2 linked regions of the Alligator mississippiensis genome follow. The protein of the gene in region 1 binds, or shares a complex with, the protein of each later gene. Links are inferred from orthologs where the notes say so. Each region holds a gene or a part of one and is shown on either strand. Other genes may lie near its edges. The genes, in order: YWHAG and CASP2.

Region 1 (14,594 bases):
CCAGCTTCCCATCGATCACTAGGTCGCCAACTAGGTCATCCCCTGTAGCCAGTACCAGGTTGAGCAGCGCTTTGCCTCTCGTTGGCCCATAGACTTCTTGAGTCAGGTAGAGGTCATCCACACATGAGAGGAAGCTTTGCAACAGCTCGGATTTTGCTGAGCGATCCTCCCACGAGATGTCTGGGTAATTGAAGTCACCCATGACAACCATGGTCCTGGAGCATGCGGCCTCAGCCAGTTCCTAGGCAAACTCCTGGTCAAGCTCAGGACTTTGGGTGGGAGGTCTGTAGTAGACTCCCACCATTGTGTCCCCTGTGCCGTGTTCCCCATGGATTCTAACCCAGAGGGTCTCCAGCCGTCCACCCTGGTCGCCAATATCGGCTTGCAGGGACGCGTAGCTTTCCTTAACATAGAGAGCTACACCCCCGCCCCTCTTCTCTACACGATCCCTCCTGTACAGAGTATAGCCATCTATACCTGTGGTCCAGTCATGGGTGGAGTCCCACCAGGTCTCCGTTATCCCTATGACATCAAAATTATTTGCACTGAGCAGGAGGATGAGGTCCTCCTGCTTATTCTCCAAGCTCCTGGCATTTGTGTACAGGCAGGCAAGTGTCCCCTGGGGGGCTCCGTCCTTGCCCACAGACTTTACCAGGGCTGGGGCAGGGGTGGGCTCCCTTAAGTGCCTTGACCCGCTGGCTTTGCAGGGATTGCTCAGCAGGCCAGCAGTGGCAGTAGTCCCCCCGTCCCCCAGCGGGCTTAGTTTAAAGCCCAGTGGAGCAGGTCAGCCAGTCTGGCTGAGAAGAGCCTCCTCCCTAGGGGAGAGAGGTGGAGGCCATCTCTTCCCAGCAGCTCGCTGCCTCTCTCACCAAAGAGCGGGCTGTGGTCATGAAAGCCAAAGACTTCCTGACGACACCAGCGCTGCAGTCTCTGGTTGACTACCTGGATCCTCCTCTCCCTCCTCAGCTCATAGCCTGAGACTGGGAGGATCGACGAGAACACCACCTGTGCCCCCAGACCCTTTAGCCCCGCTCCCAAATCCCTGTAGCGCCTCATGACCCGGCTGGGAGCGCTCCGAGCCATGTCATTGGTGCCCACGTGAATTAGGAGCATGGGATAGTGGTCTGTGGGTTTGAGGAGCTCTGGGATCCTCTCTGCAATGTCCCGGATGCGGGCCCCCGGGAAGCAGCAGACTTCCCAGGCTAAGGGGTCGGGGCGGCAGATTGCCCCCTCAGTCCCCCTCAGGAGGGAGTCTCCCACAACAAACACCTTACGTTTTGTCTTGGGGATTGTAAGATCTGTGAGGGCAGTACTGTCTCTTACATTTATACAGCACTAAGCCACACAGGAATCTGTAGGCACTGCTGTAATATAAATTATAAAAGATTGTGGGAGGAACAGGTACAATATCTGAAACACAGGAGCTAAACCCACGGATAACTTTAATGTTCTCTTACGATATTGTATGTTCTTTATGTATGGGTATCATGCATAGACCAGACATAAAGTGTGACATATCACAAAATATGCTGCTGAATGCTCTAAACTAGAGATTGTAAACATTACTAGTAGAATGCCTATACCGTGTATCTCATAAAAGAATAATAAACTGCTATGCTATATCCTGGAGTATCCATAGGAAATTGAAACTGTAAACAACGCACAAGACAAAGTGTGTGTTTATACCAGATACTGGCATACCTCCAAAGATGCCATGAAGCCAAATACACAGCACATGTGAGCGTGGAACTGAATCAAACATATTTGTAAGAGATGGCTAAAGGGTCCTGCTTCATGCTATTCCAGATACTTGTGTTTTGGCAACCGTGCAGGTTTTCCTTACCAAGGGCCCAGCTAGACCCAAACCAGCCAGACTGGGCTGGGGAATGGATGAGTGTTGTGTCAAAAAAAAGGGTGGTTTAAAGGTGATGGGAGGCAAAATGTGCTCAGCAGTGGTTCCCATGGCTGCTCAAGAGAGAAGTGATATGTGCCTCTGCCTTATTCCTGAAGTTAACAGTAGGCTACACTTCCAGCCTACCTGACCATGCCCCTTTGATACAAGCAGTGCAACTAAACATTAACTAAACTAAACCTTGTGAAACCCCCAGTAACTCTGTGGGAGTCTCTCCACTGACTTCAAGGCCCTTATTAAGGCAAATGTTTTCAAAAACAGCCACTGATGCTCAACATTACTAGGTGCCTTTAAAAATGCTGATCTCTGCAGAGGTGTAACGCAAGAAGGAGGAGGGTCCCTGCTTGCTGGTTTTCCCTCTAGTGTATCTGCAACACACAGAGCAGGATTTTCTCAGTAAAATATGAGATTATCTATTTAAGATTATCTATTATCAATATGCATTTTGATAGAGCCATAAGCAAATATGTCGCAATCCAGAGATTAAGAGGCCTTCCTTTGTGGAAGTCAATGGGAGTTTGACTGTTGAGTTCAATGGGTTTTATCCATGGTTCCTAAGATTTACATTGCAAATTAGACAGTGACAGACCATGAAGACAGACAAAGAAAGGAAGTAGAAAAAGAACAGACATCTAAAATTGTTGCATATCATATGAGGAAAAGATATGAGCTCATATACTTTTTAGTCTCCAGAAACCATTTATTAAAATAATTGATTCCTATTGGGCTTGGGAACTATCACCAAAAATATCTTGAATAAATCCTTGTAATATTATTAATAATTATCTATAAAGCACCACTTTCAAAAGAGTTACTGTCCTTAAGTGCTTATACTATTGTTGATTACTGTTGTAATATGCTACAATGAATTTCAAATTGATTTTTCCCTTCCATAATAGTTGTGGCAACAACTTGTCACCAAATTTTAGAGGGACACAACAGGATACAACTTCAGCTATTAACCCCATGAATGCCAACACGATTTTTGTATTCTGTACCAGGTGTGGTACTTATAACACTGCACATAATTCTCATTCATGTATGTAATTTGCATAAAGGGTGTTTGGTGTGAGGTATCTAGGAGCCATACAGTAACGGATAAATGCAAAGCAGTGCCAGACACAAAAGGCAGCCAGACAGCATTCAAGAAAACACAAAGCTCTGCTGAAAAAGGATCCTGTTCCAACTGGTTAAAGGAATGGAGAAAAATAAAACCAAAAGAAGGTATTTCTCTAAACTGCTTAAATGCACAGAGTTTACAGGGAAACAGCAAGAATACTGATAGCTGCTGAGGAACCTTGACATAGGAAAAACCTGTTCTCATCCTGACTGAACCTAGAAACCGATTACAGACCTGACCAAGATGGCCATAAATTCCTGGTTAGGTTATGAAGTTGGGCCATGACCTCTTGGGTACTTCAGGCTGAGATGATGAAGGGGTTTATATTTAAGTACAAAGATCTTGATGTGTGTGTTTTAGGTAACAGTGACCAAGTGAGTACCATGAGAAGCAAATGTAGCTGACTTCCTCAGGCATATCTGAGGAGTTAGCAGACAGCTGTTTTTTCCACCTGTCATAGTCTGGTGGTGAATTAGAGAGAAATCCAGTTTGGAGCCCAAGGTTGTAGTGCAGCCTGGATGTGATGGAGGATGGACACAGCAGTCCCCACGGGGCAGTGGTCTTTGCTGCTCAGCTGCTACAACACAGGGAGAGGAATGCTGTAGGGGACTCCCATGAGGAAGGGAGTAAACTTAGGGGTAAAGTGTCCACACACAAGGACAGGATGGTGATCCAGACCAACCTTGACACACACAGAAAATGGGTGAACGAAAACCTGATGGCCTTCAACACCAAAAAATGCAAGGTACTACACCTTAGGAAGAAAAACCTGCAGCGTGCTTATAGGCTTGGCAGTGCTACACTTGCTAGCACCATGGCCGAAAGGGACTTGGGGTCATGATTGACCACAAAATGAACATGAGCCACCAATGTGATGTTGCAGCTGGCAAAGTGAGCAAGACTCTGACTTGCATCCATAGATGCTTCAGGCAAATCCCAGGATGTAATTCTCCCACTGTACTCGGCCTTTGCAAGGCTGCAGCTGGAGTACTGTGTCCAGTTCTGGGCTCCACAATTCAGGAAGGGTGTGGAGAAGCTTGAGAGTCTAGAGGAGAGCCACGTGCATGATCAGGGGTCAGGAAAACAGGCCTTATGATGAGAGGCTGAGAGCTATGGGACTTTTCAGCCTGGAAAAGCGCAGACTCAGGGGGGACCTGATGGCTGCCTATAAGAATATAAGGGGTGTACATCAGGATCCGGGGGAATGCCTGTTCACCAGAGGGCCCCAAGGGATGACAAGGTCAAACGGTCACAAACTTCTCCAAGACCGTTTCAGGCTGGACACAAGGAAGAACTTCTTTCCTGTCCGAGCCCCCAAGACCTGGAACAGATTGCCACCAGAGGTGGTGCAAGCACCTACTCTCGACTCCTTTAAGAGTCAATTGGACATTTACCTTGCTGGGATCCTGTGACCTCAGCTGACTTCCTGTCCCTGGGGCAGGGGGCTGGACTTGATGATCTTCTGAGGTCCCTTCCAGCCCTAATGTATATGAATCTATGAAACCTATGAAGGGGAGGCACAGAATGATGTTGGTGCTGGACAGTTCCATGGCAGCTGAGAGCAACTGTTGGGGCTGGGCAGCTGGATCTGGGGATGGGAGATGCGGGCCTGAAGGCAGTGAAGAGATGGGTGGATGGAAAGGGAAAAATGGGGAACAGGCAGCAAAGCAATCAGAGCAGTAAGTCATCACCAGGGTGGAGAAAACCAGGGTCCAAGAAAGAAAAGCAGGGTATGAAACCCAGCTGGGAGATGAAGAAGGCTCCTGGCTAACCTTCCTCTCAGCACAGAGGGGACATGAGGCACTTGGACTAATGGCCATTGTTAGGCTATGAATGCTAAAATGCCTCATTCTCTGCTGCTGTGAATAACTCAATATCTATGCGGGAAGAGTTGGTAGTGGGGAGGCTGAGAGGTTGATTCTCCTGATACTGTGGGACAGAAATTGAATGTGGGCTGATCTCATAGTTACAGCACAGGACTAGGTGGCAGGGTGACTTCATTCCATCCCTGGCTCTGCCACAGACTTGCTTTGTGGCTTCTGGCAAGTCACTTAACCATTCATAAGATGGAGATGACATGGTGGTTGGGAGGCTTGATTCATTACTGTGTGTTCAGCATTTTGAGATCCTCAGGTGGAATGGGATGTAAAGGGCAATATATTATTATTTAATGTAATGTACTTAGGGTACACACTTGCATCCATGGTTATCAAACCAAGGGACAGTGGGTTATCGCAACATATTTATGCTGGTCTCAGTCCTAGTGAGTGTATACTAGTGATGATGACCATTATGATGGGTAGGTATCTGTGGTGCACATTTGGGATGGCATCCCTCATGATTGAGACCATATCTTTTGTAATGAAAGCCCCCAACTTCCCAGATAGTTTGGAGGAGGGGAACATTCTTTTTATACCCCAAACTTGGTTATTAGTATGTATTATGGCAGCCATCTTGCTTAATAACCACATCTGTTTATACCTGACATTTATTATCCATCTCCAAAAATGTATTGGCTGTCTCATCAAGGGGGTGAAGGAAAGAACAGGCTATGGAGACAACTCAATTTTCACTTCTGGAGGTGAAGCTATCAGGTTCAAAATAAGTACTTGGAGGAAATGTGCATTAGTACTAGTGCATTGCAGACTTGTTCTCTGATATGAAATCTCTAAACTTCCTTTTATAAATCTCTGGAATGTTTTATACATGTTGCTATGTCTACAGGCTTTTTGGGGAAAAAGGTCTCTCTTTAAGTTTTCCAATGAAATTCATAATGTGGAGTTAAGATTACCCTGGTACATAATGAATATGCCTTTTTATTTATTTTTTAATTGATGAATTAACATAATGCACTCATTGGCTTGCCACTCATGGATTGTATGGTGTCATTCCTAACAATGTTTTTCCCTTCCAAATTGATTGGAACCATCCCTATTCCCGCCCCCCATGTCCTCCTAGCTGAACTGTTGAATATTACTGGGTGGGGGAAATAAACCACTCTGCAGTTACCCTGACACAGTGACTCAGCAACATAGTATCACCATTTAATAATATAATAATACATATGATACTATAATTGTCACCATGTAACTTTTTGTGCTATATAGGGCACCTTGCCAAATCATAATACTACTTTTCATTTCTATAATATGGTACTGTTCATCCAAGTATCTCAAAGCTCTTTAAAACATTAATTGAACCTCCAAATTATTCTGTAACATAGCAAAGTACAAGCACTGCCTGTTCCAAAGATTTAGAGCCTGCCTCCAAAAATCCTGAGCTTCTCTTAAAAATCATGAGCTTAAAATAGGACATTTTGTGGTTTTTATTTGCCTTGCAGCTGTTTGGCTTTTTAAGGTGTGCTCTGGTCAGGTTGTTCTTTGCAACGAGGAGGGCCAGAAACGAATGATTTTTAAACCCAAGCTCCAATTCTCACATCATCACCTGCCCCAAGGAATTGAAGCCTAAAGGAAGGATCCCAAATATCACAAGTCTTGGAACAGGTTCCCCAGACAGGTGGTGCATTCTCCATCCTTGGTGGTTTTTTAAAGCCTGGCTGGGATGATCGAGTTGGGGCTGGTCCTGCTGGGGCAGGGTGTTGGACTAGATGTGACCTCCGGAGGTCCCTTCCAACCCGCATTTCCCATGGCTCTAGGACAGGGGTCAGCAACGTTTTTTGGGGCAGAGTGCCAAAACCACCTGCAACCTCCACCGGGAACACGGCCCCGCACCACGTGCTGGTCGCGGGGCGCCCCGGGGCCACTGCCAGCAGCTCCGGTGTGAGCGCGCGGCCCCGCCCAGCGCGTGGCGGGGGTGGGGGCTGCCCGGGCGCGGGGGATTCTGGGAGAGCGAGTCCGCCTCGGGCGGCGCCGCGCACTGCGAGTCCCGGCGTGCCTCGCGCGGGGGGCGGGGCCGCGTGACGTGTAGGGGCGGGGTCGTAGGGGGTGTCCTGGGCGCGGCGCGCACAGCAGCGGGTGCAGCCGCCGCCGCCGGAGCCGCAGCAGCAGCAGGAAGAGGCGCCGCCGCCGCCGGAGCCGCCTTGGTCGCCCGCTCGCTCGCCCGCCCCGAGCCGCCGCCGCCTCCCGCCGTCAGCCCAGCCCAGCCCCGCTCCCTCCGCTCCGCGCCCGGCGGGAAGATGGTGGACCGCGAGCAGCTGGTGCAGAAGGCCCGGCTGGCCGAGCAAGCCGAGCGCTACGATGACATGGCGGCCGCCATGAAGAACGTGAGTCCGGCCCGGCCCGGCCCCGGCGCCTGCCTCCCCCTCGCTCCCCCCTCGCGGGTGCAACAAAGGGCCCGGGCGGGCGGGCGGGCGAGGCCCGTGCCTCCCCTCGGCCCCCCGCCCGGGGCAGAGGAGATGCCCTCGGAGCTGAGGAGATGCCGTCGCCCCCCCACCCCACCCCCACCCCGTGTCTGGGCGGTGCCCTCCCCGCCAGCTGCCCTGGCCCCCTCCCCGCACCCTCCCTCCTTGCCTGCCTGCCTTCAGTCCTGGGCTTAAAATCTAGAAAAATCACCCCGTGGTGTCGGGGTCCCCTGCCGCCCCCGGTCCCTGCCCGCCGCCGCGGGGGCTGGAGTGACCCCCCAGAGGGCGGCTGAGGATCCTCGGAGGGACTTGCCTCGAGCCACATGAGGGATGCGTGTCCTTCCTCGCCCGCCGCCCGGCTCTCTCTCTAGCCGCATCCTCCGCTCGGTGCCCGATTCCCACGACTAGCGCGGACTGGTGTCCTCCGTGACTTCTAAGTCTTTAATGGCTCACGCTTATTTCCTTCCTTTTTTTTTTTTTCCTTTTAATTGCGTTTCAAGATCTCTGAGCTGAGTCAGGGTTGTCTTCATTTCACGCTCTTAAAATAAAGGCTCTGCGTTTTAGCGGACCCATCTGGTTTGTGACACCTTAATGTGTCTTTTTAATTAATACTGACACACATTTTTTTGACAATCTAACAAAAAAAAAAAAAAAGCCTCTCTGATCTGATCTTGCAAACAAAGCAATCGTGGGAGGCAGTATCAAGTCATTCCAGAAGATTCTGCATTTGTCATATTGCAGAGAGGCTAGACTGGGTGGAGGGAGGGAGGGGTTGCTTTAAAGGGGAAAACTGTTCTTTTATATTTGTCTTCTTGGTCAGGTCTGAGCCTTTAAGAGAAGCTGGGGTGTCCTCCCTTGCTGATGAGAAGTGAATGCTGATCTAGGAATGTCGCAGTCTCTTGAATGCAGCTCCATTCGCTTATATTGCACCATTTTGTCAGTAACCTTGCATTTATCATATGGGCAGAACTGTCACAGCCTGAGAATGGGATGGGAGTTGTACCTCCATAAATGAAATGTGGAACAATCGGAACAAAATGAGCTTGACAGCGGTTCGGTGGCTTTAATACATGAGCTGCTCTACTGCAGGATTGAATTTTCCATTTTTTTTTTTTTATTTTAATTTTTTTTTTTTTTTGTAGAGCCCTGAGCTTTGGTTTAAATGTATGTGTGCAAATATTAAATATTTTATTCAGGTAATATATAGCTACTGCTATCTAAAACAGAACATAGACTTAAATGCAAAGTAATCTTATTCCAATATATTTGTTTCTCCACAGATATAATTGGTATGCTTCTTCCCCTCCCCCCCTCAGTTCTGTATTCTTTTTTAGAAGGAAAAGGCTGACTTAATAAAAGGTCATGATTACTTTTAATGGCCATCATGAAACGGCAATCTGGACTGTTGCATCTCCAGTACATTGGAATCGGTTTCCTATAGCTGAACTATACTGGAGGTGTTCGAGCTCTTACTACATCACACGTGCACACAAGCAGCATTTCATTTTCTTTTCCTTTCTCTTTTTTTTTTTTTCCCATAACCTGGAAAATGCTACTTGGATCTATGCATGGTCCTATCTTACTGGACATGTTGCACTGATTTATTGTCCCATCTAATCACCCATTCCCCTCCCCATCTCCAGTTGTGCAGGAGGCTTGTGACCTCGGACTCATTTCCGTAGCAACGCAGTGATGTCAGAAGCAGTGGTACAAGCTGCATTGCACCCAGGTGGTAGCAGAGAGCATGCAGATTGCATATTTCAGAATTGATGCAGAAATGTTACCATGTAGTTATCCAGTGGGATTAACGTTCTCCCAGAAACTAGATGATAGATCTTTCATATATCTTTTGACAACTAATGCATGACAAATCATTCCTGACAGATCATTAGATCAAGCATGAATACCACCACTCTCACACTTGCTGCATGTCTTTCTTTATAAGATTGTATATAAAGAAAGCAGTGGCACCGTTTTTTTGTTTTTAGTGCAAACTCAAGTACAGTGCAGTAGTTAACACACAAGAACATAGTCACATCTTTGAAAATCAATTATAAGATTAAATGTTATTAATGACTAATGGGTTTGTGATGCAGCCTTCAGTCACTTAATTCAACAAACCCAACCCATACTTCCTTGGAAGCTTTTAAATAGAATAATTGCAGTTAGGGTTTCTTATTGGACATAGCATGCTGGACTCTTTCTAAACACATCATCTACTGGGCAGCCTATTACTGCAGTGGAGTGTACAAAACTGAATAAAAATGTTTCCTTATTTGGTTATCATCTCCACATCTGAATATCTAGTAGGCACTTGATAAACTTGGTTTTTAAATTTGCTAACTACACAAATCCATTGTTGTGCTTGGGTAATGCCAATGAAGCTGGATAGTGATAGTGGATAGTTTATGCTCAATTGAAGCAGTGTGGTACTTCCTGTGCTGCATTAATTGCTATGAAGGATCAGGGGAAAACTGGCTTCTTGAGTGAGTACCTTTAGAAGTAATATTGCTGGATAGATACAGTACTGGACTAGGGCACAAGAGTGCCTTGCTTTAGTCTTGGTTGTGCCATTGACCTGCCGGCTGACCTTGGGCAAATCGCTTCATCCATCCCTTCATACACCCATACAGATGGGGCTATTACCCTTCGGTATGGTGGTCTGAGAGTCTCTGAAGAGCACAGAATGAGCCCAGAGCACAAGTTATAATGAATGACCTTTTGACAAGTCTGTTCCTGGATTCTGCTGGCTAATCAGTCATTCAGTACTGGTACCCCCCTCAATTTCTGCAAACCAGAGAAAGGGATTTGTGTGGGGGAGGGGAGTCCCCTCAAAAGGCAACTAGGGTTCTGAATAGCACGTCACTGACAAGGTTCTTATTCCTTCTATTTATTCATGTATTTTTTAAATTTAAGTTTGACCTAGTGGAAAAAAAATTGTCCTTAATGCCTCAAGTGGGTGCAGGTTGCTTTTTGTCTGAATGGCTACTCCAGGAGGCTAGCTTTAACTTGGTTTAGAGTTTACTGTGTGATGCATCTGCTTATGCTGTAGTGGCTTGATCAATATCCATTAGCAGTAATGGAGCAGTGACATCTTTGCAGGCTTTTGGAGGTGGAGCCCTGCCAACCATCCAAGTCATGTGATGCTTGGGAAATTGTTTCCTTCCTAAGTGTGTGCATATGAAGTACAGTCCTGGCACTTATCCATCCATCCATCCCACCTGCAAAAATGGGGTGTATGTCTCAGATATTCATTGTTTTAATAAAACTATTTTCTGAAGGATGGAATCATTAGCCTTTTAAAGCTCCTGGCCTGGTCTTCCTATTTAATAGGCTTGTTCTGTAAGTTGTTATATTTTTATAGGGGCTGCAACACTTCTATTTTTATAACATAAGCACAAGACCAGTCCAAACTATTTCCCAGGTTCTATATAGAAAAATTCTATCTAGTCTCCTCTAAAACATGTAATTTCCATGTAGTCCAAAATGTTGCAGGATGCATTAAGTTGCTTCTAAAATCTTGACTTCCTAGGAAGAATAGAATCTAGGTATGGCTTGTGGACCTTGCCATAAATGTCATTATCTGATGGCAACTGGGCTACCCCATTCCAGGAATCCAAACGCACCATTTGGCATGAAGTGTTATCCCTCTGTGAGAGTCCAAACTATGTGCCTCTTTTAGATACACAGGTCAAGATGCAACATTCTTGCCTCTTTCCCTCCTCCCCCTCCTTTCTCATGCACCTTAAGGATCTACTGCATCAAGAGGGGTCTAAAAGAGTACATCTCTGATATTTTGAGGTTGTTCAAGGGTCAAGTTGGAAGCTGAGGCACAGGAAAAGTATAAAATGAGTGAGTAAACAAGAACTGAGCTGGTTTGGGGCCTGGGTAGGTAGGAGCAGGATTGCTTAGAGCAAAGATGTGATTTGCAGTGGTGCTGTGCAGGATCTTGAAGTTGAGAGTGAGTAATTTTAAAGCCTTTTGCTGACTTTCCCAAAACTCAGAAGTGAAAGAGTTGGAAGCGATTGTGGCAACATCTTGCAGAGGAGTGATGAGAAGTAAGGAAGCCACAAAGGAAAGGACTGCAGAGAATGAAACAAGAGGAGGAACAGTTCTTAGTATTGAGGCTTAGAACCATGTAATATCACCATGTTGCAATAATCTTGCTACTTAAATATGCAAAGAGAAGAACTTGCAAACACCCAGGAGTCAATGAAACTACCTGATGTTTCTAGAATATTACAGTTGTAGCTGAAGGTTTTTCTTCCTTTTTATTTATTTATTTAACTTGCAAGCAGTTGTTTGCATTTAACTTTATCTCTTCCTCTTTTTGCTTGGTTTGACAACTACCAGTCCTTCCCACAACCTATGATATCTGCTAATGTGTAGTAGTGTGTCTCAAATAATATTCATTCACCTTGTTTCCTGTTAATAGTTCATGGGGGGGGTAAATGCTCAGTGAGCTTTGTTTTCAGTCTTTGCACCTGGGAAAAAAAAATCTGGTAATTCATAGCTCTGATAAAAGGTCCAGGGATGCTTGTTGGCCCCTTTGTGCCCTAAGGGATCTTGTAGCATTTGTAACCTTGCTGTGAGCTTGAAGGAGGAGGTTCACAGGCCAGCACCTTACTTCCTGCAAAGGTTTAAATTTATTGGAAGGTTAAACTTGCATATGGTTTTCCATAGCTTTCTGAGCATCTTTGAATTTCTGGGCTTCTTTACTGCTCTTGTCAGTACCTCAGTCATGAACCCCTTTCTGGATGCCCTGAAGAATTGCAGCAAGACTATATTTTTATGATGCACCATTCCAGAGTTCTGCAGTAAAGTAGGCAACTGCCAAAACAGTACAGGGCATAGCTTTGCTAAACTGGCTAAAATTAAATTTTTGTCACTTCCTGAATGTTTGACTAGACATGTCCTGGAAGTTGGATCCAGCATGCTGTGAGATACGAGTGGAAAGCCGTGCCGTAATTGTAACCATGCTATCAGTAATAACAAGTAATATTAGCGTCTCTAGGTATTATGGAGTATTCCAGTGACAGAGCAATATTGAAAGAGCTGGAGCCCTTAAATGTAATGCCTGCTTGCTTTGTGATATTTTTTGTGTTCGCTTTAGGCATAAAGGCTACAAAGATAAGGCTATCCAGGCAAGAACCCCAGATTATGCTCCCATTGAAGGTTAGTCTGAACTCTGTATGACACGAGAAGGTAAAGGCAGCTACTGATTACGTTCCTGTCTGACCCCAGTCAACAGTCTGAGGTCTGTTACAGCTCTTGGCTTTAAAGCCTGGCTCTCGAAGTAGAGACTGACTTCCAGCTCTGGAGGTCCCTGGGTCAACCAAGATAGCTATCACTGAAGCATAACAGAGCAGTTGCTTGTAGCCTTGAATGCTTCATTACTTAAAGCCATGTTTTGCATGATTAGTTAACTTGCTTCCAGGTTCTACTAAAAGTAGGCAAAGCCCCATAGCGTGAACTGTGAACAAGTAACCACTCACCTGGTAGGCCAAGGAAATGGGGGCAGCAAATCTCTGTTAATCTTTAACTAGATTAGTAGATTTCTTCCCTTGGGTTTCCCTTGTAGTCTGTGTGGCACCATACATGAATATAAATACCTTTTGTGAGCAGAAATGTTATAGAAAACATTTTTGGTGGCTGTGCTGGGGTGTATAGAACTTGACCTGGAATGATAGAGAATTAGAGCTGTAAAGGACCTCATGTAGTCCAACCCCCTTCGTAAAAGCAGGATCATCCCTACCTAAACTATCCTCTACAAATCCGTTGTCTTGACTCTACAGTTTTAAGAGTTAACCCTGAGACGTAACAAGACGTAACACCCTAACCTGCCGCAGGTAAAGCAGGGGATCACAGCAGCCAACAGCCTGCTGCTGTAAAAGTTATTGATATATGTTTGTGAGATAGGAAGAGAATCATGCCCTATTCTAAAAGAAAGCAGAAACCCTCACAGTCCATACCAATCTGACCCTGGGGTAAAAAGGCAGACTACAATGTAGCAAGCAAGGCTGGCTTAAACATGGGCAGGAAAACTCTTGACTAAATCTGGCCCACGGCTGCCCCCACTGAACTCAGCATGGGGCTGAGCCTTGCTATAAGCAGAGAGCACCGTGCTCCTGCCTGGCCGCAGCCAGCACGTACAGCTTCTGGCGGGGCTATTCCCATTGTGGCTGCAGCTGCCTGAATGCTGCTCAGCTCCCCTTGCCTCCAGTGGTGGCTCTTCCAACTCTTGCCCCTACTGCACAGCTCTGGGTCGGGAGGAAGCTTCAGTCCCAGCGGCTCCTGTTCCAGGCCACTTTCCACCTGCTCTGCCCGTTGGCTGGTGGGTGTTTGGACATCGCACCCCCTGCCTCCCAGGCAGCCAGCCCCCTGTCCCACGCTTCCCACGCGTCTGTCTCCCCCCCCCCCCCCCCCCCCCCCCCCCCCCCCCCCCGGACATGGGTGTGCAACGAGCAGGTCACAAATCGGCTCTGGCTCCAGCCCTTTGCTGTCACTGCTCTGTGACCTTGCCCCATGATCCTGGCCTTTCCTGTCAGTCCGACTCCTGAATGCTGCTTCCTGCCCACCCATGGCCCCATCTCACATAGGGAGCTTTGGTGAGTTGTAGGGGGTGGGGAGGAGCATACTGACCCAGCCCATAACAGTTTATCAAAACTTCCTATGTGGTCCCAAATAATTGCCCATCCCTGGTCTAGAAAGATTCATAGTTTTAGTTAAGGCAAGCTGGATTTCAGGTGATACTTGGGGGGGGGGGATGGGAACAGGACTGTCAGGTCTTGTCACTGTCTTTATGGGCAGACCATCCTATTAATAAGAGTGCTAAAATAGCCTAGGTATAACAAATCTAGTAAATGCAATTCAAGAGAAGTAAAATACCATGAAGGATCCTGAAATGAGCAATGGAAATGGAAGTCTAGTTGGTCTTTGGCATTTCTGTTCCTGAACACCTGACTTGCATGTGCACCTCAGGGATCAGTAAACCATGTAATACTGCACATCGTACTACTGTTCTTGGTCTGTCCCATCTAGTTTAGGCTGGACTCAGTTTATCTTGACTCATAACCAGTCTTCACCAACCACAACTCATTTGCTGGCTGGTGCTTACAAAGAGAAGTTGAAGGATGAGGATGCTGAAGTAAAATGTCCTGGTGGGATCCAGTGTCTGGCTGCTGGTACTGCAGCATGGTATCAGTAGGCAGTTCCTTCTTGGGGGAGGACCTGCAGTAGTGTCTGGGAGTAAAAAGGAAAAC
Region 2 (15,258 bases), on another chromosome or scaffold:
ACAAGGGATTTGAAAGGGGACACTGAGCTGAGCACACCAGTCAGTGCCCAATGCCCCCAAAAAAGTCGGGGGAGCCTGTGGATGCTGACCAGTGAAATTGCTCGGAGATGTGAGCGGAGTGCCAATTAGACAGCCCCACACTTGCCCAGGGTGCTACCCTGGCCAAAGCCGCCTTCCTGGTCTTACAGATGGTCAGTTTGGCCAGAGCCAGGAGGAGGTTGACTAGGAAGTCCCAGGACTTGCTGGGGCAGCGGACGGAAAGTACATAACAAAGGTGTGGGGAGAAGTGCAGCCAAAACCTCAGCAGGAAGTTCTGGAGGAGGCAGAAGAGGGGCTGCAACCTGGCACTCAAAGTAGGTGTGTGCCAGGGCCTCCCTCTGTTGAGAAAACAGGCAGGCGTCAGGTGTTCGTAAACACGCCCATGGCAACAGCTCCATTCAGGAAGTGCCAACTGAGGTCCCCAGTGGCTCATGAGATCAAGGTGGAATAAGACTTGCCCACCGGGGACCCTCACCCCCGCCTTCACCTAGGCTGTCTCGCTCGTTGTTGGGGCAGGACACGAGGACGGGATGATGGACAGTGCAGAGTACAAGCATGTAGAGCTGGTGGCAGTAGGCTGTTCACAGGCAGACCAGCTTGGTACGCCACAGCATGCTAAGATGTTGGGGCAGGGAGCACAGTGGGGCCTGCCAAGGCAGCAGCCTCACAACTATCTCCAGAGGGCTGGGGAGGAGAAACTGCCCTTACACAGGACCTGGTCAATGTAGGCAAGGGCAGTGGGCAGCAAGGTTTACTTCCCAGAGCAAGCAGCAGGGAACACGCAGCACGGGCAGCTTCACAAGCCAGCACAGAAGGATGCACCTATCCCTGCCTAGCATAGTCTAGAACAGGGTAGGCAACTTTTTTTAGCTGGAGTCCCAAAAAGCCCACAATGTCTACCATGGAAGGTGCCAGAGTGCCGGCATGCCAGAAAAACAAAAGGGGGGGGGGGGCAGTGGTACATGGCAGGACGCACTTCATATTAGTATACTTAATAACCATAAATGTTGCCTCTGTTGTTGTGTACTTTTTTTTGTTCAGCATGTTGCGGTGAGAGAGAAAAAAGAAAAATAAGAGAAAGAGGAGAGAAAGAAGGAGAGAGAGAAAAGAGAGCAGAGAGAGAATCAGGCACATACACACACACACAGAACCACATGTGCACAAACACAGAGAACCAGAACAGACACATGCACACACACATCCAGAGCCAGACATGCGTGCACACACAGACGCACAGAACCAGAGGCAGACAAACATACAGAACCAGATGCATGGGTGCACAGAGCCGGGCTGCTGGGCCACCAGACAAAGTCCGACCCAACAATGCCCTGGGCCTGCCAGAGCCCCTGTGCTTCCTTGGGGAGCCAGCCCCCGGGCTGCAGTATGGCCAGCCGAGGCCCCGGCCCAGAGCCTACCAATCAGCCCAACCACCTACCCACTCCACACACCTAAGCCCACAAATGTGCGGCACTCCTGGCAAGGGGCAGTGCCAGCCTCATCCCAGTACAGCGGCTGGGCCAGCGCTGGGCTTGGAGCAGGTAGGAATCAGGCCAGCTCAGCTGCAAGCCCTGCTGCAAGGAGCCCGGCTCCGTAGTTGACAGCAGTTACCCAGAGCTGGGGCTGGCTGCAGCCAGGAGTCTGCAACCAGCTGCACGCGTGCCTTGTGGGGGGGGGAGGGGGAAACAGGCCTGAGGCAGCACAACCCCAGCCTCTCCCCTGCTGCCGGCACAAAGCTGATGACTGAGCTCTGGAGCCTGCAGCAGCTGCTAGTTGCCAGCCTGGGCTCTGAGCCACTGCAGCAGGCAGGCTGCAAACAGCTGGGCCAGGCTCCAGCATCAGCTCTGTACTGGCACGTGCACACATGACTTGGAGCAGGCTGCGGGAAGGGCCCAAGGCAGTGCAACTCCAGTCTCTCCCCCGCTACCAGCAGGCTCTGGAGCCCAGTGCAGCTGTTTGTAGCCTGCCTGGGCTCTGGGCAGCTGAATCAAGCAGCAGGCAGGCTCTACAGCTCCGGCATCAGCTCCATGTTGGCAGTGACTGTGCGTGTAGTTCAGAGTGGCCATGTCTCTGGAACACATTGGCATACGCTGACAGAACCATGCTCGTGGGAAGCTCCTCAAGCACCAGCCCCACCACCCACTTGCGCAGGAGGCAGAGGAAGGGCTCGAGGGCAATGGTAGAACTAGCCTTACAGCGGGCAGCCTTGATGCACTCCCCAGCTGAATGGGATGGGCTCCATCAGTATCCAGTTGTGCTGGACCATACGCTCTGCAGAGGTGTACAGCACCTGGAGAAACCAAATGAAGCAGGGACCAAAGCCAAACACCCTCTCAGCATGCCTGTGAGGTAGCCAAGATCCGCCCTGTCAAACACCATCTTCTGGTCAAGGGACAGGAAGGCAAATGACAGGCTGTCCCTACAAGCAAGCTTGAGGAGATCCTGCACTAGGTACAGGATGCTGAAGATGGAGCTCCCTGGAACTGTTTACATCTGGTCACATTCACCCACACATATCTCAGGTGCAGCGAAATGGCTTTTGCTATGACCTTGCAGTCTGCAGAGAGAAGTGAAACTACGTGCCAGTTCCTCAGGTTGAGGGAAGAGGGTCCCTTTTTCTAGCCAGCAGGGTCAGGACAGCCCTCCTTCACAACAGGGGGAGCTCCCCATCCCTTTCAGACACAGCCCAAACCCCAGCTAGGTCTGGGTTGAGGACATCCAAGAAGGCACAGCAGAACTCCACAGTCAGTCTGTCAATGCCCAGAGCTTTGTTGGTGGGCATCAGATGGAAAGCATCCAAGAGCCTGGCCAGGGTGACAGGACACTTGAGCAAGTCCTGGTTGACCAGGAAAACCTATGGCAGTACCTTCCCACAGGACCTGGCAGCCATATCAGCATTGGCCAGATATGATGAGAAGAGCTCTGCATAGAAAGCCCTCACCCTTCGTTGCAGTTCACCAGAGTCCATGAGGTAGGTGCCATCCTCCGTCAGGAGACAAGTGATGTACCTCTTGGCACCCCTCCTCTTCTCTAGAGCACAGAAGCAGTAGAAGCCACAGTCCAGTCCACCTCCCAAAGGAGCTTGATGCGTGAGCAGATGAATGCACCGCAGGTGCAGCAGTCATGCAGAGCACAAAGCTCCTTCCCCCTCTCAACACTCTCCACGCAGGGATGCATAGTTTGGGTCAGCAACCAGGCAATTCTCCAGCTCCTGAACTTCCCTCTTGAGCTGCTCTCTAGCAGCTGTTAGGTGCGCCCCCGATGTAGAAGCAACAGTACTGCCTGACACAAACCTACCTCATGTCCCACCATCTCTGGGTCAAGGGAAATGCTTGCCGCTGCCTGCACCAGGCCAGCCAGAACTCCTGGAAGGTGACCAAAGACCACATTTTCCAGCAGGCTGTTGCTAAAATGCCAGGAAGCCAGCCTTGGATGCTCAGGCTGCAGAGTAACCTGAGTGCATACCAGATGATGGTCACTGAAGGGGGCCAGCCTAGTGCTGGAGGCATGGACTTGGGCGGTATTTAGCATGGACCTGGGCGGTATTTAGCATGGACCAGTAGATTCAATTCAACTGAGTAGATTCAATTCAACAATTCAGGGTATCCGTTACTCCTCCACCCTGACAAAGGTGAAGGTGGTGGTGTTGTCAAGATGGTTCACGCACCTGGGTGGCATTGGTGCCCTCCCCATAGTCCTGGGGAAGGGAATCCTCCCCATCGGGGCCCACTGGCACGAGCCCCTGGACTCCCATCTCCCCCAGGTGGTCGGAGTGGGGGTCTCTGCCATCAGACCTGCCCCAGGGTGGCTGGGGCTGAGGTCCAGTGCCTGTAGTAGTTGGGGGCAGGTCAAAGCCGGCTGAGTTGGGGGGAGGGAGTCTTCTCCATAGGCTAATCTAACATAGGATGGCCTTGCCATCCTGGGCCCTCTTCCATGTTGGTAACAGTTATCTTTTTTATTTTTCCTGGAGGTGGGATTCCTGGTGCAGCTCGGGAGGTGGTGGGTATAACATCAATGTCAGCCCTCCTCTTGGATGGTGGGAGGGGGAGCCTCCTTCATACTGGAGGGCCCAAGCTGCGTCTGGGCTTTGCACTTTACCTTGCAATGGATGGTAGATCACCACCCATGTGGGACCAGCACCCAGCCAGCCTCAGGGTGGCCTGAGGAGGGGTCTTCCTGAGATGCTGGAAGTATCGTGGGGCTAGGAGGGAGTAGCAGTGGTGGGGGCTGGTGTGCCCCCCTCCCTGCTTTGGGACCCCACTGGTGGCTGTGGCATTGGGGGGGGGGGGGGGTGTCTCCTGAGCTTGCCAAGGGATTGGATGCTAGGGCTGGGTTGCCAGTGGTGGTGGTACCTCTCTGCTTGGGGGGTGGGAGTGCTGTGGTGCCCCCCATCGCTAACTGAGGGGACATTCTTGGCAGAGGTGCCCCAGTACCCAGTACCAGAAGTACCTAACTTCCACCACCATATAGTTAATGTGGTTGAGGGACCCCTGGAAGGAGACAATAAAGGTCCCCCCTTCACCTCCAGCTGGATGGTGACTTGACCATACACTATGCAGAGGCATACAGCACCTGAAGGTGGTGGAAGGACTGGATGTGGGGGGAGGTTGGGGTCCTGGCACCCCAGCAGGAGAGTGGTGACCAGGGATAGAACTCTCCCCAGGCTTTGCAGGAAGGGCATGAGGGCCCAATTAGGGACGTAAGGGGGTGGGGCTGAAGACCACCCGAGTTCCCAGCTCCTCCAGGGGCTTGAGTGGGACACGCTTTCCCCCCCACACTGCAAACCTCTTCTCTGCCGCTTCCTGTATGGCAGCCTCCATGGCAAGGTAAATGATAACCTTGCGGTAGTATCTGGAGACTGTCAATCTCCAGGGGCCCCCACTGCCTGAGTGAGCTCACATAGTTCTCAAACGGTGGTGGCTTAATCTCAGGCATGTCGCAGTGCACCCCACTGTGCCTGCTGATGCTGGGGAGGGGACCCCAACTGCCTGAGGATGTGTGGGCAGAAGTGGAAGAGGGCCCAGGCTCCGAGGCTGCAAGCTTCCCTGCAGCCACCTAGGAATAGCTCCAACTGCTGAGCTGAGCAGCCCTGCTTGCAGAGATGAAGGAAGACTGAGTGGGAGGGGCACCTGCAAGTGTTGCTAACTGGACTTTCTTTGTAGGCCCTTTACTCTTCCCACCCCCTGTGGAGGAGGAAGAAGAGGAGCCCTTGCCCTTTCCCCTGCCCTGGTTGGGCTTGGGGGCTCCATGGCCCCCCTCGAAGAGAGACTGGCCAGTGGGGAAACCCCTGCCCCTGCAGGGTCTTCCCCAGCATATTGGCAGCTCCCTCAAGGGACTCTTGCCATATCATGGGAGGCTAGGTTGGAAGCAGCGGTCGCAGGAGAAAATATTATGTGGGTGCTGGGGTTGCGAGTGCATGGCAGGATGCGGAGAAGTAGTGCAGAGATGCCCCTCCCCCTCACTCGGGGCTGTTGCGGGGCTGATGCATGGCAAGTACACTGGGCATGCCAGTGGTGCTGGAGCAATGGAGCTGCGTTTGGGGGGGCTAAGCCCCATTAGCCGCAGCCTTCTGCTGCCTATGGTGGGAAGGAGTCAGGTGGGGTGTGAGGGAGGGAGCTGCATGCTCCTCCTCTGCCTGGAAGGAAGAAAGTGGCTTGCTGTGGGGTGCAAGGTGCCTCCGCAGGCTGTACTGCAGGGGGGAGGAGGGGAGCTGTGGGGGGGAACACAAAAAGACAACAGGGACATATGCAGAAAAGAAAGGGAAGCATGCTGCTGACTTAGCGGATCACAAACACCAGGAGAAAGGAAGTGGAGCACAGGACCCACCACAGGAGGGTAGACACAGGGGTTGCTCCTAGACCAGCTAACAGGCAGACATTGCTGGTGGCGGCATTGTGAGGTCCCCTTTGGCTGCAGGTGGCCCTGGTCATGCAGTGGTCGTGAGGCAGGACCAAAGGAGAGAGGGCTGTAGGTCCAGCAGGAGGCGAGGGTGGGGAGAGCAGGAGCCTGCAGCAAGCAGTTCCTCAGGCCCCTGCTCCCTGGCCCAGCTGCAGCATGGGGGGGGGCGCCCCTGGTGGCCATATGAGACGGAGCAAGATGGAGCTGGGGCCCGACCCACGAAACAGCAGCTCCTCTATTCTCAGTTCAAGCTCACAAGGGCCCGCATGTGAAATGCCGCATCCCCGCGCCCTAGCCCGTGCCGTGGCCGGCTCCCGCGAGGCAGACCAGGTCCCGCAGCCCGGGAAGGGAAGCGGAGGCCGAGGCCCCGCCCTACCTGGATGGCCTCCTTCATCTCCGGCGTGAGCACGGCGCGCGCCAGCAAGTGCTCCAGCAGCTCCTGCAGCACCAGCTGCTTGGCCAGGGGCACGCGGTGCCTGCGCAGCGCCTCCTGGTGGCACGGCTGCATCCCGCACGCGCCCGACATCGGCCCGGGCTGCCCCGCGCCGCGCCGGGACTGGGGGCTGCTCCGAGCGCTCAGTGCGCCAGCCCGACGGCCCCGCGCCCAGCCCGCCCAGCGCTTCCGCCCCGCTTGCCAAAGCCCGTGTCAAATCAGCGCGCATACGCGGCCGCGCCCAACCAGCTCTGCAACTCGTGGTCACGTGAGCGCCTGCGCGCGAAATCTCCACTTCGCCGCCATAGCGGTTTCCGGCACGGAACAATGGAGTCCCGTGTACGCGTGCGCCGCTGTTCTTGTGGCGGAGTGGTCGCGTGCAGCCCGACCCAGCAGGAGGCGAGGGTGGGGAGAGCAGGAGCCTGCAGCGGGCAGCTCCTCAGGCTCCTGCTCCTTGGCCTAGCTGCGGCATCGCAGGAGGGGAAGCAGGCGGGAAGGCGGTACTGGACGCTGTGAAGAAAGCACAGAAAGCCCCTGGCTGGGAAATCCCGGGAATCAGGGGTTTTCTGGGTTTGATGCCCACTCAGTGCTTTGGTCTCGGTACAGTACGTTGCTGCGAGGTCCCTGCCGTAGCCTACTCGAAAGGCATCAGAACCAGTTCAGAAAGACGGTATTACAAGAGTACGAAGCCCATGCGGATGGCTCACGCGTGTCCTAGAAATGGTAGCAGCGTTTCAAGGACTTTGAATTTAGTAGATTGCCAGCGTGTCCTCCCTTCCCCCCCAATGCCCTTGAGGCTGGTCCCTAGAGTGGCTGGCAGGTGGTACGTGGTCTATGATAACCCCAGGGTGGGGTGGTGTTTACCTGGTATAGGCAAGGGACTTGATCTCACAAGGAAAGCATCACTGTGGAGGGTCTGGTAAGAAGTCTAGCTAAGCCGATTCAGTTCCCTGCCAAGAGAGGTTTGCTGTTCTTGCGGGCGTGAGGGACCCACTCCTTCAAGCATTCTCAGACTCCTGGCAGATGTGAATATAATGCTGTGATTGGGATCTGAGGAATTTCGTGCCCGATCCCTGAAATCGCATGTTCTTCCATCCCAGACATGCATGAAAGGACATGTGATTTTTGGGATGGGACATAAAATTCCTCAGATTCCAGTTGTGTAACTGCCACAGCCAAACTGGACCAAGCTGGGGGCAGCTAAGTCTTGGATCTCAGGGCTGCCTCCTGCCTGATCCCAACCCTCAGTTGATCATCAGGATCAGATGTAGAGCAGTACCCAGTCCCAGTTTGAGATCCAAGGATCAGGTAGGGGTAGTCATGTCCTGACCTTGCCTTATACCTGATCCCAACAATCAGCTAATTGGGATCAGGCATAGAGCAGTCCCAAAACCTGCCACGTGCTCAATTTAAAGTGATTCAATCCACATTTAATATGGAACATCTCCATGGCTGGTTTGCTATTTATGAAGTCATAAATTGGCTAATATGTCGCATCTAATTAATCACATGATTAACAGTTTTCTTGTGCAATAAATGAAACATCTGCCAGGGCCTTCCAGCCCATATTGGTTCAATATATAGTTGAATACTTCACAAGGATAGGTTTCTAACTCCTCTGGGAAAATGAGGGTTTGTGAATTAGCTGAGAGTATGTATAGCTGCTGCAATTTCATAGATTTCATAGACATTAGGGCTGGAAGGGACCTCGGAAGATCATCGAGTCCAGCCCTCTGCCCAAAGGGCAGGAAGTCAGCTGGGGTCATAGGATCCCAGCAAGATGAGCATCCAGTTTCATCTTGAAGGTGTTCAATGAAGGCGCTTGGACAACCTCTGGTGGCAGGCTGTTCCAGACCTTGGGGGCTCGGACAGTAAAGAAATTCTTCCTTATGTCCAGCCTGAAACGATCTTGTAGTAGTTTGTGACCATTCGTCCTCGTCATCCCTTGGGGCGCTCTGGTGAACAAACGTTCCTCCAGATACTGGTGGTCATCCCTGATAAACTTATAGGTGGCCATCAGATCACCCCTGAACCTGCGTTTTTCCAGGCTAAAGAGCCCCAGGGCTCTCAGCCTGTCATCGTAGGGTCTGCTTCCCTGACCTCTGATCATGCGCATGGCTCTTCTCTGGACTCTCTCAAGCTTCTCCACATCCTTTTTGAATTGTGGAGCCCAAAACTGGACGCAGTACTCCAGCTGCGGCCTCACTAAGGCCGAGTACAGGGGGAGAATGACGTCCCGGGATTTGCTTGAGAAGCATCTATGGATGCAAGCCAGCATTTTGGTCGCTTTACTAGCCGCAGCATCGCATTGCAGGCTCATGTTCATCTTGTGGTCAATGATGACCCCCAAGTCTCTTTCTTCCATAGTGCTAGCCAACACAGCACTGCCGAGCCTATAAGGATGCTGCGGGTTTTTTTTCCCCAAGGTGGAGAACCTTGCACTTATCGGCATTGAACACCATCAGATTCTCATCCGCCCACTTGCTGAGCCTGTCCAGGTCAGCCTGGATCATCCGCCTGTCTTCTGGTGTGGATGCTTTGCCCCAAAGTTTGGTGTCATCTGCGAACTTGGCCAGTCCGCTTCTGACTCCAGCGTCCACATCATTAATGAAGATGTTGAACAGTATGGGTCCAAGGACAGAGCCCTGGGGGACCCCACTGGTCACAGGACACCACGATGAGTGACTTCCAACAATTACTACCCTCTGGGTCCAACCCCGGAGCCAATTTTCCAGCCAGTGGATCGTGGAGGACCCAAGGCGACAATTGGCCAGTTTCTCCAAAAGACGATCATGGGACACCAGATAGAAGGCTTTTTTGAAGTCAAGATATATGACATCAATCTCATCTCCCTTGTCCAGGTGATAGGTCACCTGGTTGTAGAAGGAAATGAGATTGGTCAAGCAAGACCTACCCGCAACAAACCCGTGCTGGCTATCCCTTAAGATGTTGGCGTCGGCCAGTCCATTAAGGATGGCCTCCTTAATAAACTTTCTAAGATCTTCCCCGGGATAGAAGTCAGGCTGATGGGCCTATAGTTAGCCGGATCCACTTTCCTCCCTTTCTTGAAGATAGGCACCACATTGGCCTTCTTCCAGTCTTCGGGCACTACACCAGAACACCAAGAGTTTTCAAAGATCCGCGCTAGGGGCTGGGCTATGATGCTCGCCAGCTCCTTGAGTACCCTGGGGTGAAGATTGTCAGGGCCGGCTGACTTGAAGGTATCCAGCTTCTCAAGATGTTCCTTCACAAAGTCAGCATTAATGGAGGGCAGGGGATCACCCTCACCCGGACTTCCCGGCCCTGTAGCGGGCATGGGCATCCCATGGGGCTGATGAAAGACTGACGCAAAGTACCTATTTAATAGGTTGGCTTTTTCCTGAGTGTCAGTTGCCCCATCTGGTTCAGCAGGGTCCAACATTGCCCCTGCTTTTCCTCCGGCTCCCCACATATCTGAAAAAGGACTTTTTATTGTCCTTGATGCTCAAAGCTAGCTGGAGTTCAGTTGCAGCCTTGGCTTTCCTGGTCTGCTCCCTACAGGACCAGACCAGTGCAGAATAATCCTCCTTGGAGGTGACTCCCATCCTCCATCCTTTGTAGGCCTTTCTTTTTAGCCTCAGGAGGTCTGCTAGGTCCCTGGAGAGCCAGGGGGGCTGCTGTGCCCTCTTGCTGCCTTTCCTCTGAGATGCAATAGACTTAGTTTGTGCATTGAGGATCACTCCCTTGAGGAGCAACCACTCTTCTTGAACTCCCCTCTCCCTGTGGTCACAGTCCCTTAGGGCCTCACTGACAAGCCTCCTGAGCTTGTCAAAGTCGGCTTTCCTGAAGTCAAGGACTTCCGTGTTGCTGATTTGCCAGCTTTTCGGCGGATGGTGAAGGTGATCAGCTCGTGGTCGCTGTCACCCAGCTTCCCATCAATCACTAGGTCGCCGACTAGGTCATCCCCAGTAGCCAGTACCAGGTCGAGCAGCGCTTTGCCTCTCGTTGGCCCATAGACTTCTTGAGTCAGGTAGAGGTCATCCACGTACAAGAGGAAGCTCTGCGACCGCTCAGATTTTGCTGAGCAATCCTCCCACGAGATGTCCGGGTAATTGAAGTCACCCATGACAACCATGGCCCTGGAGCAAGCTGCCTCAGCCGGTTCCTGGGCAAACTCCTGGTCAAGCTCAGGACTTTAGGTACAGAACCAGTGAATTTCTGAGTGGAACTTCTCCAGTCAACTCCAGTCAGACCACTTCTCCAATCAACTGTATGAGACCACTGATGAGCTTCAGCTGATAAAAGAAACAGAGCCATTTGAGGTAAAATCTGCAGCAAAAAGCTGAATGGGTTCACTTTAATTAGGCAACCCACTGCAAACAAATAATTCAGGTCCTGTATAGTTCTACTCTTCCACCCACTCCGAAGACTTATTTTCTCTGACTTCATACAAGTCTTTAATTTACTCTCTGCATTTAAAACTCCTCCCCCAGATAGATTTCAATATGAAGGATTCTGGGAGGACTCTGGGAGAGACTTTCCACTCAGCTGGAAATTACAAGGTGTGATAGTCACAATATATGTTACCTGAGATGCTTATGACCAAAGGGACTATGGTTTTCATGGAATCATGAGGTTAGAAGGGCTATCAAAGGTCATTTAGACCACCTAGTTTTGTAGAAACACATTCATTTCTTCTACCCTCAGGCTCCAAAAATCCATTGTTCAAATAATGCCACCTTTTCCTCTAGCCCTGGTCCTTTTCATAAGATGACCAAGTCAGCTGCCCAATGGAGTGGTGCTGAATGGTTACCCACTATATTGCAGGGAAACGTTAGTTTCCAATGTGAGTTGATTTTTCTTAATCTAAATTCATAGGGCTGGATTTTTTAGAAATAATTTATATTTATAGAGCGTTATATATTCAAAGTGCTTCCAGTCATTAACTAATTACATTTCACAATGCTGCTATGACGCAAGTATTATTATAGGGAAACTAGAGTGACTCAGCAGCAGAAGTAGCAATTGAATTCCTGCCCTAGAGCTATGGCTATCCAGAAACACCCTAGAAGTAGGAGATAGCTTAAATTAGAGCGTTATGTGGCTCACTGGGATATATTCCCTTTCTTAATATAAAAGACAAGGTATCTAGTCTTTATGGCTGTAGAGCTAAAACTACAAGTGTGAACAAGTTATATAACCCATGAAGTTATGTCTGTCCACATCTTCAAAAAGCTTGAAATCAATGTTACTGTAGCCTTCTATTGCTCTGATTACACAGTTAGCTCTAAGAGCCAACAGTGCCACTTAGCCACTGTCAATATTAATTTCTTAGTCACGTTACCTCTTTTAAACCAAACCGTTCAAGGCTCTGCAGATTGTTTAACAGAAGGATTAATTAATGACTGAGGCAGCTTCGACGCAATCCTTTTCATTTAAAGATGATGTACAAAGTCCTGTTTCCTTGAACAAAAAGGAATCAACTAATAGAAAATTAATTTGCTCTCAACTCCCAAGACTTTCAACCTGCGCTCAGCCAACAAGTTCTTATTCTGGGGTTTTCCTCATGGCCATAGTCGGTGCTTTATGGCTTTCTGCCTTATGCATACCCTGCCACTAAAACAATATGTATTCCTCTCCAATATAGTTTGGCTTAGTCATGTTACACAGCTTACATATGGGCAATCTAACGTGACATCAAAGAGCCAGACCCCAGGGCAATGAATCATGGGTCAATGACTGGCATTAAGGTCAAAAGCCAGCAGAAGCCACAGACAGAGCAACACTCATGAAGACTACAGTTGTGCTAAGGAGTCTGCAGGCCATTTTTCACATGGTTCAGTTGCCTAGTTCAGCCTATGAGGTAGCATGCAGGTAGCCTGCCTGACGCACCAAACTGGTCAATCAGACAGGGCAAGGGTTGCACGTATATTTTTTGGTTTGGGTAGTAGCATGTGTCTCTATTTGGCATGGAGGCTACTGAAAAAATGTTAAAATGTTGGGCAGACACTTGACTGGAATGTTTTAGTTAGGAATGATCCTGCCATGAACAGGGGGCTGAACTAGCACTGCTTTCCTTTTGGGTCCCTTCTAGCACTGCTTTCCTTTTGATCCTATAAATCTGTGGTATGTGTACTTTTGTACACATCATCAATCACCTTACCCTTAAGACTAAATCACAAAAAGCAGCAAGCAGGGGGATCTATTTCCCCCCCACCCCTTCCCCTTGAGCAGGGTGGAATAGGATGACACTTAGTGCCTAATAGATGGAATATAATGTTGTTCTATGAGGCTAAAGGACTGCCAAGTAAAGCCATCATGATCTTCCCCTTTGACTTCCTGCAAGTTATAGGCTACAGAACTTCTTGCAGTAATTAGTGCATCTAACTCAATGAGCTCTGGTTAAGCTATAGCATACCTTGATTTAAAGACTTCAAGTAATAGAGAATCTACCACAGCCCTCAATGAGCTGCTTTAGTAGCTCATTACCATCGTTCTTAAAACACCAAATGTTATTTCATGTTTGAACGTTTCTAGCTGTGCCCTTCAGAAATAATGTAAGACCACCTTGTACATGTCAGCTTAACTGGCTGGCCTTTTGGTAGTGCAGTCATCCCATTCTACTTGCCAGGCAATCAAGCAGCCTGGCGTCTATTTTAATTTCTGCCAAGACTGTAACTGCAGTCAGGAAACTTCAGTACAAATATTTAAAAAAACCAGGCTACTAATTTGAGTGCTTACATTCTGAGGCACTTAGCTTGATTGAAAGAAGTACTGAATTCCTCTAACTTAAATTGGAATGAGCAGAAGTTGCAGGTTCTGAATACCTCTGAAAATCATACCCTTTTATGATTCAGTTTGAGTTCCCCAAAACTGCAGCATTCATCAAACGTGGACACTTTTAAGAAAGTTGAACTTCACTACACTTCAGTTTCTTTGGCTTCAAAATGTGGGTAATAATGCTTTGTCACTATTTGTCAGGAACTTTGAAAAAGTACAGATCAGTTACTGTATTAACCTTCCCTACATTGAGCTAGTAAAATGACTTTCCAGTAGAGGGCAGCAACATCTTCCCTCTTCACTGTAAGGACCTGAAAGTGTAAACCTCAGTTGACACCACTTTGTTACTGTAGAGTCACTAGTGATTATGCTAAAGAGGAACACACCTATGTACAAATTGTATATCTGTTGTTGGAGATTCATTCAAGTGCACTGGGGATGCTATGTGCATATTAATCCTGCTCTGCTGATGCCTACAGTGCCTGAGTCGAGAAGCCCTGCAAGAGATAGTAGAAATCAGGCTTGACATGCTTCCCCACTGAAGTCAAAGGGGGGCTTTCCATAGGACCCACATACGAAAGGGAACCTCATTCTATCCTGTGAGAGGCACAAACACAGCCTGGAGAATGACTGGCTGGTCTGTAATTATTGCAGAGAAGGACCTGGGAGTTGCCAGGTTCCATGAGCCTCAAGCTGAAGCTAAATATGAGCCAACAGTGTGATCTTATTGCAAAAAGAAAAACAAAACCCTAGCAAATTGGGTTATATTAACAAAAGTGTAAATTGCAAATAGAAGGAAGTGATTCTTCCATTCTGTTCAGCACTGGTGAGGCCTCACATGGAGTACTGCATCCAGTTTTGGACCCCCACACTTCAAGAAAAATGTAGATCGATTGGAAAGGGTCCAAGAGGGAGCAACAAAAATTATTGGAGGTCTGGAAAATATGACTTATGATGAAAGGATGGAAAAACTAGGATTCTGGAAAAGAAAAGTCTGAGGAGGGATTGATAATCATAGTCTAAAGTAGAAGGCAGGGTACATTTTCACCTGAAAGCTGCGTCCCCACAAGTGGGAACGTATAGTTTGTGGCACCTCAAAGCCTTTGGAGGCACTGCAAAATGCACATAGTGCTTATGATTCCATGCAGTGGCAAAATTAGCTACCAGGAAATCATGGTACCTAAAAAAACTATGTCACAAAAAGGAGTGCAGCATACATGGCTGCAGTATGTACCACCCAAACCTAAGGCCTAGCCACCCAGAGCCACACTGGCTGCTGGCCAGGCTCCAAGTGGCAAGTTCACTGTTGCTGCAGCCCTGGGAGGCCCCCAGGACCCTAGGTATGGGTTCTGAGGCCAACCCAGGTGCTGGCCCCAGCCTTCCCTATCCTACCTGGGGCAACTTGCTGCATACCAGAGCACATGTGCAGGAGCATGTCTGGTAACAACTATTTGTTCCTGGGGAAACACAGTCCTGTTCATGGGAACGTGCCGTAAAAGACTAACCAAAGTAGGTTTTGTATACATACATGCACACACATATATAGCACATGTTTTTGTGAGAAGAAGCTGACTTCATCAGGTGCTGTAATTTGAAAACTCCTCATATACCTGTTGGAAATAAGAGCAATGGCCTCAAACTGCAGCACAGAAAATTTAGGTTGAAGATTAAGAAGAACTTTCTCACTATGAGGGTGGTCAAGCATTGAAACAGACTACCTAGAGAAGTTGTGGAATCTCTGTCCCTGGAAATTTTCAAAAGTAGGTGGGACAGACTTGAATGGAATGATTTACTCAGGAATGTCCCTGTCTTGAGCAGCGAGATGGACTATATGACCTCATGAGGTCTCTTCCAGCCCTACTTTCCAATGATCCTATAAATCTGTGGAAAATGAAAATGGGGAAAAATAATGAAAGTCAGTGGTACGAAAGGGCAGGCAAGGCTTCCAGATCCCTACCCTCACTCCAGGAAGTTCCCACTGTTGACAAAAACAGGGAAAACCATTTAGCAGCTTCTCTGAAACTGCTTCCCAATTCCCATAGCTGGAGAAACAGTTCATAGTAGCAATGCATGGGGTGTCAACCACTTGCTCATAATGGCAGTAGATAGCTGACAGCCACTAGAAGTGAGAT

Evidence for each region.
Region 2: the proteins of YWHAG (region 1) and CASP2 are in contact, whole or in part, in a crystal structure (PDB 6S9K), measured with the Homo sapiens proteins. The link is inferred for Alligator mississippiensis from reciprocal best matches to the Homo sapiens genes YWHAG and CASP2. Residues at the interface, in NP_036611.2 of Homo sapiens: Glu15, Asn43, Val47, Arg57, Arg61, Lys125, Arg132, Tyr133, Pro170, Gly174, Leu177, Asn178, Val181, Glu185, Glu213, Asp214, Lys217, Asp218, Leu221, Ile222, Leu225, Asn229, Leu232, Trp233; in NP_116764.2 of Homo sapiens: Asp137, Leu138, Ser139, Leu140, Pro141, Phe142, Pro143, Val144, Cys145, Glu146, Leu150, Lys152, Lys153, Leu154, Ser157.

The regions. Positions count from the first base shown.
Region 1 is NC_081837.1:16,882,015-16,896,608, forward strand, and holds the start of YWHAG (14-3-3 protein gamma), read left to right. Parts: upstream 1-6,994; 5' UTR 6,995-7,167; coding exon 7,168-7,254; intron 7,255-14,594. UniProt on the Homo sapiens protein: Adapter protein implicated in the regulation of a large spectrum of both general and specialized signaling pathways. Binds to a large number of partners, usually by recognition of a phosphoserine or phosphothreonine motif.
Region 2 is NC_081827.1:153,828,281-153,843,538, reverse strand, and holds the start of CASP2 (caspase-2), read right to left. Parts: upstream 6,633-15,258; 5' UTR 6,461-6,632; coding exon 6,311-6,460; intron 1-6,310. UniProt on the Homo sapiens protein: Is a regulator of the cascade of caspases responsible for apoptosis execution. Might function by either activating some proteins required for cell death or inactivating proteins necessary for cell survival.